3 linked regions of the Drosophila melanogaster genome follow. The protein of the gene in region 1 interacts with the protein of each later gene in a pairwise test. Each region holds a gene or a part of one and is shown on either strand. Other genes may lie near its edges.

The links.
Region 2: the proteins of Art9 (region 1) and CG14506 interact in a two-hybrid assay, tested with the Drosophila melanogaster proteins (one large-scale study listed by BioGRID).
Region 3: the proteins of Art9 (region 1) and RpL23 interact in a two-hybrid assay, tested with the Drosophila melanogaster proteins (one large-scale study listed by BioGRID).

The regions. Positions count from the first base shown.
Region 1 is NT_033777.3:13,941,597-13,944,991, forward strand, and holds Art9 (arginine methyltransferase 9), read right to left. Parts: upstream 1,865-3,395; 5' UTR 1,807-1,864; coding exon 1,690-1,806; intron 1,636-1,689; coding exon 1,406-1,635; intron 1,347-1,405; coding exon 752-1,346; 3' UTR 642-751; downstream 1-641. Other genes in the region: Art6 (arginine methyltransferase 6), read right to left, coding at 3,103-3,395.
Region 2 is NT_033777.3:29,294,988-29,298,741, forward strand, and holds the start of CG14506 (uncharacterized protein), read right to left. Parts: upstream 2,194-3,754; 5' UTR 2,108-2,193; coding exon 2,068-2,107; intron 2,007-2,067; coding exon 832-2,006; 3' UTR 174-831; intron 99-173; 3' UTR 1-98.
Region 3 is NT_033778.4:22,852,272-22,856,025, forward strand, and holds RpL23 (ribosomal protein L23), read left to right. Parts: upstream 1-2,111; 5' UTR 2,112-2,141; intron 2,142-2,208; 5' UTR 2,209-2,245; coding exon 2,246-2,258; intron 2,259-2,375; coding exon 2,376-2,587; intron 2,588-3,173; coding exon 3,174-3,371; 3' UTR 3,372-3,423; downstream 3,424-3,754. Other genes in the region: CG13531 (uncharacterized protein), read right to left, coding at 1-270, 365-1,426; inaD (inactivation no afterpotential D), read right to left, coding at 3,491-3,682, 3,753-3,754.

The sequences.
Region 1 (3,395 bases):
ATACAACACTCGAGATCACGCTTCGTCACTAAGCGGGCTGTAGGACATAAGACGCGTCTTCTAGAACGAAAATATATTTTTAAGCGAAGAACTTAAATAACCCTTTTTTCCACAGTGCACATTCAGCAGACGAAATGTCACTTAAGCATGTGAATGGCCGGGGTGAATCGGAATCGAGATCCGCGAACGGATTCCTTTCGCTGGGCTAACCAAGTGCGATCTGGGATCAGAGCTCGGTTATGAGATCAGAACAAAAGAGCTCTCACTGCAAACGAGGCCGTTGGAATAAAACCCAAACCCCAGAGCCAAATCACGACGCACAGTCTGGCAAGACGATTGCGGATGGTCGATGGACGATGGTCGATGTTCGATGGTCGGTGAATTATGCGCGACATCATTTTAAATCGTTGTAGCAACGTCAAAGCTAAACACCGATCAGGTCAGCCAAAGAAGCCAAAGCAGCCAAAAAGGAGGGCCTACACAAAAAATAAGTCAGTCAGAATCGGTGGCAGAACCCGACACACAGACGATCCCCAGCCAGATCCCTTGTCCAGAACCATTGTCTTTGGGTAGCAGCCGCCCTAATTGATGCAGCACGGCCATAAATTTCGATCGGCCAACGATCCCCAGCCTGCTCCCCTAGCAGCGGCAGAGGGTCCAAAGATTGCCATGAATACATCAACAAGAAGAGCCCCCTTTTATTTCGCTCAAATCCACATCATTCGCATAGTACCGAAACATCATTGTGCTCTCATGGATTTGCGACTGTGGAACTGCCCAAGGAGAAGGAGTACTCCACTTCGCGATGCTCATCCGGCTTGTAGTACATCCCAAGCTCTCCGATTACCAGCTCACATTTGGCCACCTCGACGGGATTATCCATAAACAATATGGTTTGGCGCACATAGGTGCGAGGTCTCTTGGGACCAGTGGAAAACATGAGCCTAAACTTTCCCCTCGGCCGGCAGAGTCCAATATCTGAATAGAGCACCACGGCTCCAAGTTGACTGTCCCTCAAGCCACGCAGCTTGAATGGAACCCTGAAGCTCTCATCATTTATATGGGCAGTGCAGAGATCGATGGTTTTCAGAAGGTACTTTTCGGTTATCAGCTGCTCCTTGGCAACGTAATCCTCTATCAGGGAAACGGGTTCTCTGACCATATAACTACGACCAGGATAATCCGACTGTGGAAGGATATTCACTTCGACAGTCTTACGCGGATGATCCGCAATTCCGCAGACAAAAAGTTGAGCCACATTGGGTATGATAAAACCACCCTTAACCAGCCACTTTTCTCTGGCAAAGATCACCTCCTTGAAAAGTGAGTCCACGAAAACAGAGTGACTGTGAAATAAATAACTGAAATCTAATTGATTGTAATGTGGCAACTTAGAACTACGTACCCTACCCACTCGGACACTATTATATCGACCTTCTTCAGACCGCAGGGCAAAACTATCTCATGGATATCGCCATCGATAAACTCGAAGATATCCTCCTTCTCAGTGCCGATAAAAGCCTTGCTAACAAATTCAGCACTTTCCCTATTGCCCAGGGCCATAACTTTGACGGCACCCGCTTCCACGCTCATCAAGCTAAGTAATCCACTGCGACAACCCACGTCCAGGACTATCTATTGAAAATCGATCATTTGTATATACATTTCGATAAGTTAACTTATCTTAACCTTATCCTTGAAAAGTCTTTCATAGCGCTTGAAAACCCATTCGTATGCCCTGGTGGAGATTACATCGTTCAACATGCTGTCCGCCATTTCTCTCAGCAGATTCTTCTCCAGATCCATGATTTATATATTATAAGGTATTCAATGTGTCAAACTTTGATAAGCTTCGACTGATTGCTTTAATTGGTATACTCAATACACATGGATATATTCAAAACATAACTTATTTTTTTACTTATATTTATATTTATTTATTTATTATTTATTTATATTAAACTTAACTTGTTAAATTAAATTTGTATAAATTTTAATTTAATTCGACTTGGAAATCGTACCTCATATTATCCTGGTTTCACATTTCACGCCCCAATCAGCCGCCATAAATTCCGAATAGATTATCGCCCGGCATTTCTCACAATTCCCATGCCTTATCGCCATCCAAGTGACACCAATTAGTTATGAGCCAATTGTGGGATCGTACCTTCTTATCAGCGGGAGCAGCGACAGGATACACTGGGCTCCAAAATCCGGGCAAGCGGCTAAGCTGTCTAACGAGTCTCTAATTTATAGGCGACTTGGTGCGCAGTGTCCCGCTCCGTTGACAAATGCCAGCAATTTGATACCCAAACAACAGGAACGAGGAGTAGTAGGATTTGGTCATGGGGTTATACAAATTGAAATGTTTTCTGGGCCTACACTGGCTGGTTGGATGGTTGGCTGACTGGCGAGGATCGGATCGGATCCATCTGGGTGCTGTTTTTGTTAATGCGCCCAGCGGGATGTCCACCGAAATCACCGACGCGGGATGCGAACAAGTGTTGACCGAAAATCAAAGATCGCTGGCTCATTTGTGGCGCTTTTGTGTGCGCTAGATAACCAATATTTTATAATCATGTCCAATAATGGTGTGCATATTAATTTCATGGGCGCATAAAGCAACTTTATGGCCTTTTAAGAACTCCCATTAACAAAGACCAGTCCGTCTGTGCACAAACACAAAACGAGCTGACAAGAGATTTTTTGGGCAACCAAGCTCTCGAGATGCGAGAAGCGAGACAATGCAAATGGCTAAAATAGTAAATAGAGTTATAAACGCATAAAAGGCGTTCATTGTGGGCCCACGGCGTTGGCTTTCACAAATTTATACGACGGCTCATCAATTAATTAGAGCCCGGGGAGGGACACATTTTCACATTCTCCCCTCGGCAATGACCTGGCTTTGAAATTAATTTGTTAGGAAAGTCGTTAACATTTCGTCTGTCCACTTTCTAAGCCCCGCCGCGGATTGATTGTCATAAAAAAATATAAAACCCAACCCTTGGGCAATTGGAGGCCCTAGATTAACGACCCATTTTATGGCAGTTATCAATTCGGTTCAACATTCTTATGTTTTTAAATTTCAAATGAACTTCAGGTTCATCTTGGTGAGGAGAAGCTCTTGAAGCTCTCCACTCGCGTTCTTTCGCCACGGAAGCTGATGTGCAGATCAAAGTTCATGCCACGTCCATCTTGTCCGGTGGGCGTCATGGCCAGCACACCGCGCACCCGATCCCTAATCCTCACATACAGTGGCTCATCCAGATGGAGCACCGTCTGCTCCCAGTGCGTCCATGGCGAATGCGGCGAGGTGGTCAGGCTTACGGATTTGTTCGACTTTCCCGACGGAAACAAGACATCGAAGTACAGGACCAGCATATTGATAATTCCAG
Region 2 (3,754 bases), about 15 Mb from region 1:
ACTAGTGCAGGACCTGCAAGGATGCAGCTGATAATGGCAAAGAATTGCGTCGTCACAGGTTCACAGAGATGGCCGGCCAAAAAGGAAGACAAGTAGTGCTGGGGGGGGGAGAAGGTAGAACAATTTTTTTAACATCAAACGAATAAAGGTCGCTCTCGCACACTCGTATTTACTGTGGAAAAGGGAGCTCCTGATTTGTTGCAAGATTTCTTCGTAAATGGCATAAAAAACTGCTCGAGAAACAAGGCGACAAGCCGTGGGATCGCCGTGGCCGTGGCTGTGGATCGTTGTTAAGATTGTTAATGGCACCCGACCTGTTCACGTCCACGCTCACACAATGTTGGACAATTAACACGGCCCAGCAAGAAGAAAGCCAGGTTTTTGGAGGCACATCCTTGGGAATGTCGGGCAGAACAGAGGCCGCGCTACAGAAATCAAGGCCCCCTATTTCATCGCATTTATCGCATTCCCGCGCCCCCTCTAGGAATTGTTCATATTTTGTGTATCATTCGGTCAGGGGCAGTACCGTCATCAGCTGATCCAGGGGATTAATTATGTTGACAGGTTGCTGCGATTCAAGTGCCTTTGAATTGGAATTGGAACTTTTTGTGTAATATGTTCACGTTTCATTCAAGCAGCTCCATTCATATCTTCCAGGAATCTAAGTCACATCCTTCGGCTTCCCTCAATTTAGAAAGTGTCCGACTTATGTAATGTATGCCATTTCCTTATAATGAAAGTGTTCTTTGAAGTTTCTTGGGAAATATTGCTTAACTATTGTTATATTGAATGATATATGATATGATAGATATGATTTGCATTTGGTAATTCCTACTCTTTCTGTGCGTACATCTGATCCGCAAACATCGAAATGCTGGGTCGGTCTTTCATCTCGCTGAGCTGTAGGTCGACGTAGTTCTTGGTCCGCCGATAAGCTGCCACATTAGTGTAGCAGTGATGGACATAGTTCTGACCCAAACTGGCTAGAACGGCGTAGCGGAGATCTGACTTGGAAACTTTTCGAAGAACAGGTTTGGGCTTAGGCACTAGGGGAGTGATCGGCAGAAGGCTCGGCAAGGATGGGAGCACTGGACTAGAGGCAGGAGGTGGTGGAGGTATTTTAAAAATAACTTTTGGAACGGCTTTATCACTAGGAGTTTGTGGCAGGGATGGGAGCACTGGACTAGAGGCAGGAATTGGTGGAGCTATCTTAAGAGTAACTTTTGGAACGGCTTTATCACTAGGAGTTTGTGGCCACTTTGGAGCTGGTGGCTCGACAGACTTGTGGGGCACGGCAGCCAGTTTCTTCCGTATGCTCAGTAGGAGCTTTGCCGAACTGGAAAGACCCTTTTCCAGGGCCCTCACCTCGTCTGAACTGGGTTCGAATTTCAACAAGTTAAAGCTCCAGCGGGAGATTCCAATGTCATTGGTTAATGCATAGGCATAGTTTCGATCAGATTTTACGGCGGTAAATGGACTATAGGACGTGGGTTCTACCAGTTTTTGAAGAAGCAATGATCTGTTAATTGGTGGCTTCGAATTCTTCTCTAAAGATTTGTGACCACTTTGTTTGGCGTCGTTTTTCTCTGCCTGCCTTACAGGAGCTTTGTGTGGCTGCGTTATCGTTGCCTTTGGTTTTTTTATGGTCCCAGAGTTTTGCTGACTTCCCTTATTTGTACTTTTTTCTTTCGCCTTGCGACAGTTCAATCGGTATCCCTTGATCAGATGTGGATTCGATTCGATGGCATGCTCCATGTATGAAGTGCGACTAAACCGCACCATGGCGTAGTTAAAGTTACTCATGCCATTCCTCACGCTGACCCTCTCCAAATCCCCAAATTTGCTGAAATAGGTGAACACATCCCGATGGGTAATGTCCTGGTCTAGGTCGGGAATGAACATCAGGCGATCGTGTTCCGGCTCGGGAGGCCGTCGTTCGGGTGGCTGGACTACCACTGTGCCAGGTTGGTACGTTTTCACCTTCTCTTGTAGGGAATGGAAATTTGCTAGGATTGTGGATAATTCAAAGTCCGTGAGAAGCTTAAAGTCCCCGATAGCCGTTCTCACCTGCCTTTTCCCCATAGACACTAGCTGGTTCCCTGGGCATGGCTTCCCCCAGCTGGGATTCACTAATCCTTGCTCTTTTTGGCGAAGGACACGAATCAAGTCCAGGCAAGTCCAATGGCGTGTTGGTCACTCCCAGGGGTTCTAGGGAAATCAAGGAGCTCCATGAACTATCCATGCTTTTTAAAGCCAAGTTGAAATATACTTGGTTGATAGACAAACCCAAAGCCAACTCTGATCAATGACTATTTATTATAAGAGTGGTGAAGTGGGGAGTTTTCCCTTAAAAATTGCCATTCATAGAAATAAATTCCCTAATTTTTACGCAGAATCTAAAGTCTTTCCCCTGAGGTTTCCCCAAATCCTTAAAAGTCAAACCTACTCAAACCTTTCCCATTGCATAAATGAAAATTGCACTTTCAGTTCATCGAGGCCTGGGAAAATTTTTATCCGTTTCGCACAAGGAAATGATTTGCCAAACTGAGCACAAATATTTTCATCGGAAATTTCATAAATATTTTATGAAACTGTAGGATCAAAGTCAAAGCCCCATTTAAGGTCCCCAGAGTGGCTGCCGTGCCATGAATGAATATTCGTAACGGTCGGCATTCCGGCTGCGATTCATGAAACTGTTGCCACCAAATCGTGGCCAAATGAAAGGAACCAGTAGGCCAAAGGCAAAAACCCAGCTGGAATGCGTTGGCAGTTTGAATGTCGCCTCAGGTGACAAATTGCAAGGCTTGCACAGGTTGTTCAGGTTGCACATAGCCGGTGTAAAAAGGACGACGACTCAATGACGCGGCAGGTTTCGTCGAAAAAATGTGCCATTTCGCACCTCCATAAAAACGTGTCCCGAATGGGTTTCCCTGTCATTTGCCATCAATGGACTGGGCGGCCTTCGGTTTCGGTTGCATAATGTTTGACTGCTGGGCGGAAAGTTGCACATGGCTTCTAATGTGCGATTTGCATTCGCAATCGGTCAAGGGTGCACCGGATGCGATGAATGTTTACCCAACTCGCAGAAATCAGGGCGCGCATCCCTTTCACGAATCCATCTGCCAGTGCAGATCCTGCACATCCTTTGCCACCCAGGTTACGTAAGCCATAAACAAGTGGACCATGGCGGACTAATAGACTTGTTGCCAAGGCCGCAGAGATCGCCTCCTTCTCACGCCTCGACTGCATCCGGGATTCCAGCTAAAAACGCGGCAATATCCCTCAGATACTCGGATACTTTGTGCGGACGTGAACTTCAGCCGTTTAGCCATTCAGGCATTCATTGATTCATTCATGAACATTCGCCCGCAAACAATAAGGACACAACTAGCAAATCTCTCTCGAGCACTTCAACGAACAATGAGGAGCCCAAGCAAATTTCGGTACGAGGACATTCAGTGTTCTCACGTTCATTTCGGCGATTTCCTTCGTCTTTGGGTGTTTTTTCGGCTCTTTTTTAATGTTGGCTTAAACCTCAAGTGACCGAGGGTTTGATGATGATTATGATGAGCTCACAGAGAATTTGCGAAAAAAAAAAAAACTAAACGAGAGAGGAGAAAGGAAAGCGGATACTCAGCCACTCAACCGGGTGTCCCGGCATCCTCATCATCCGCCGATCATCCCGGATATAGTTCGATATTTTTTGCGAGTTTCATCATAACGAAATTCCCTGAAATGCCCCAAGAACACATAA
Region 3 (3,754 bases), on another chromosome or scaffold:
GAGCGGCAGATTCACGTGTTTGAACTTCATGAAGAGATCGTGTGCCGTGGGTAGGCCGAAATTGCAGCTCGTCGGCCCATGATCGAAGCGAGCAATCAGGGATTTGAGATACGGAACCCGACCCAAGTTGGTAGAGGTCAGGAATCCCTCTAAAGAGCGCACACTTGGCTCCTGACCAAGAAAATCGTAGAAGGTCAGCAGGGGATGCCCTTCGAAGGAGTCGACTGTGTCGTGAGTTTTCTCCAAGTATGCTTGAACGCTCTTGGATATCTGAAATACATTTAAATTGACATAATTATACACTTAACACACTTAAATATAGAGTAAATAATATATTTGCGAATCATTATCTGTTCTGACTTACCAACTCGAAGCCCTCGTTCTCGGTCAATGAATTTGTTTTTATGTCGACGATTAGATTAATCAGGGGCTCCTGGTGCGTTTCAGTGCCGGCCAGCAGTTCCAGCGAGGCGATAGGCACGCATTCCATGAGGAGCAGCGAGTATTGGCCGCGGTCCAGCAGGTATTTCGCCAGTGGCTGGCGGCTAAGGAGATCCGCGTGCTTTCCCAAGCACTCCATGGTGCAAAGGCGACGCAGCAGAGAAGGAATATCTTCGGACTCGTCCATGAAAAAGTATCCCGCACGCGCAAAGAAGTTTCGCAGCACTTCGCTGGGCTGCTGCAGTTCCTCCACGGCGTACTCGTACATGGTGGCATCTATTTTCCACGCGGTGAAGCTCTGTTCCAAGGGAGAAAGCGTTTCCTGGGACACAAAGCCCTCCTCCTGAAGGCGACACCAGCGTTGGAGCTTTGCTTGCTCGTCACTGTCTACCAGGTGCTGCCAGACCATGTCTTTGGACAGGGATCCCAACAGAGATTCATTGCCATTGGCGAAGTACAATTCTACGAGGAGCAACTGCAGTGCCTGCTCTGGTAATGTCATCATGGCTTCTATGTGCACACGGGGCAGCTGTGTTCGATGCTTGGCCACCAAGGCCTCGCACTCCCGGAGTTGCTGCACCAAGGACCAGTGGTAGGCCAGTACTGGCTCTTCCTGCTCGTACATAAGGGGCTCCCGACTGCGCAGGTGATCCAGCACAAACTCACTTAACTCCTCGTCCTGGCACTCGCAGGCGAACTGAAAAAAGAAGCACTTCACATCTCTGTCCACGTTCCGGATCACGTCCTCCGCCTTGCAGACAAGTCTCTCGGAGAGCAGTCGCTGCACATAGGCCTGCACCACGTCGTAGAAGTAGTGGCGGTACTCCGAAACGGGAATCTTTCTCTTCTGCGCCCAGTACTCCATGCACAGGTCGATGTGCTCGCCCTTGGTGGCCACCTCCTTGATGATGGTCACCTCGCTAATGCCCCTCCAGTTCTTGAAGATTTTGTCGCGGGCCTGAGCCTGCGCCTGGGCGGAATGCATCTTGGTGGGCGGAGTTCTTGGAATGTTCTGCGGGCTTTTTCACATCTCTTTGTTGCAATCAACAGTTGATAATAGCGAAAACAGCTGTATGTTCTGCTTCTTCTTCTCCGGAACCTTATCTAGTTCCGAGTGCAAGTACAGTAAGCACTGAAAATAATGACGCACAAATTGTATTAAATGGAGCCACATTTTAACTAAAAATATCTGAAACTTTGTTCAGTCCATTGCTGTCGAGGAACTTTTGTCTCTTACCCTTTTGCCACAACGGGAAGTTTAAGTTTATTATTATTATTAAGTTTATCAATGTCAAAGAGTAAAGTTTTTAAAATATTCAAATCATTTAATGTCATCTACTATAAGATATTCAAAAAAAATTTACTTAAATATTGTGGAATAAATATAGCGATAGAGTAAAAAAATGGCCCCATCCCTTTCTAGCACACGTAATTTCTTTTAAAAGAAAAGTTGCTGATTAAGTTTTTGGAATTTCCGGTGTGAACACGACATCTGATTGGCCAGACCTGCCAACTTGTTCGAGGTGGGTGTAAAACTCCGATGGTATGAGTACCTGCTAGGATTTTAGCAAAGTTCGAACCCAATCCGTGCTCATTCTTGGTTATAATTAGGTTATTTTTTCGATATTTTGAGGTATATTTCTACGATAGATCGGCGGTCACATCGTATTTCCCTCCTTTTCGTTTTCGTTTCCGGCGAAGTAAGTATAATAAAATCTCCACGTTTTTTTTAATGCTAATAATTGAAACATCTCATTGGCAAACTAGCGAATAATCTTGGAATAACCAGTCCGCGAGCAACAAAATGTCGAAGAGAGGTAAAAATCCGAACGAACCGCGCCGCTAAGCGTGCGAAATGTGACGCGCCGGATGTGGAGAGTGTCGAAGTTGTGGTGTGCAAAACTAATAACCCTCTGTTTTTCGGTCTCATCCAGGACGTGGAGGTACCGCGGGAGGCAAGTTCCGCATCTCCCTCGGTTTGCCCGTGGGCGCCGTGATGAACTGTGCCGACAACACCGGAGCCAAGAACCTGTACGTGATCGCCGTCCACGGAATCCGCGGTCGCCTTAACCGTCTGCCCGCCGCTGGTGTCGGCGACATGTTCGTGGCCACCGTGAAGAAGGGAAAGCCCGAGCTCAGGAAGAAGGTGAGTGTGGTGCCCAGTGCTCCGGCTGAATCGGTCATGTGCTAAAAGTGCCCATGGGCTAGCAACCCGCCCAGTGAACACGTTTTTCCACTTTGTTTGTGTGCGTTTTCTTGAATGAAATTCAACTTGTTTCTGTTTCAAAGAAGCCAATTTGAAATTAGTTAGCTCTTATTACATTGGGTTGCTTAAGGTTAATAATCGTATTTTGTGCTACACTATTTGTCATTTGTTTTGAACGGGCAGTTTTAATTTCTATCAATTGCAGAGTATTTCATTGTAAAGTAATACGATAATATAGATAGATTTGTATTAGACGTGGAAGGTTTCTCCTTACGCTTCCAATAAATTTTCCCCACATGTTTTGTGCCGGCTAAGATAGCTTATCGCACCAAACTCACGTTTTTAATATTTTTGTTTATTGATAAGAATTTAAAATTGTAGTGAAGAAGGTTTATAAAACGGTTTCACTGCACTTCTCATAATTCCCCCACCTATAACAACGCACTTTTGCATAACTAACCGATGCAGCAGGAGGTTTGCACACTGCCGAGCAACTTTGCTAACTACTATTTTCATTTGTTTCCAGGTCATGCCTGCCGTGGTTATTCGGCAGCGCAAACCGTTCAGGAGGAGGGACGGGGTGTTTATATACTTTGAGGACAATGCCGGGGTAATAGTAAACAACAAGGGCGAAATGAAGGGCTCGGCCATCACTGGACCGGTGGCCAAGGAATGCGCCGATCTGTGGCCCCGTATTGCATCCAATGCAAGCTCTATAGCCTAAGGAGTTTCCTTTTCAATAAACCCACAACGGAAAACAGATTGTTTTGAATTCGAATTGTTGGTTCTTTTATTGAATTGCTGCACTGCTTCGCTACCGGAGGAGGAGAATGAGGATCGTCTCTAGGCCTTGGGTGCCTCCGTACGTAGAGTGGGCTTGGGTCGTGTCACTTCCATCGATACCTTGCCGTTGGCTCCCTTGAACAAGGCGTAGCACACCTGGAACGGAAGACCCTCCAAGGCATCGCCATTGAATTTGGTGATAATATCGCCGCGCTGCAGTTTGCTGTCTATCTCCGGGTATTGTCCTTGAATCTGTCGAGAAAGTAGTTACTTAGGGTTGAGCCTTCCTACCACTGTATACCAGTGGTGTATGTGCACTCACCA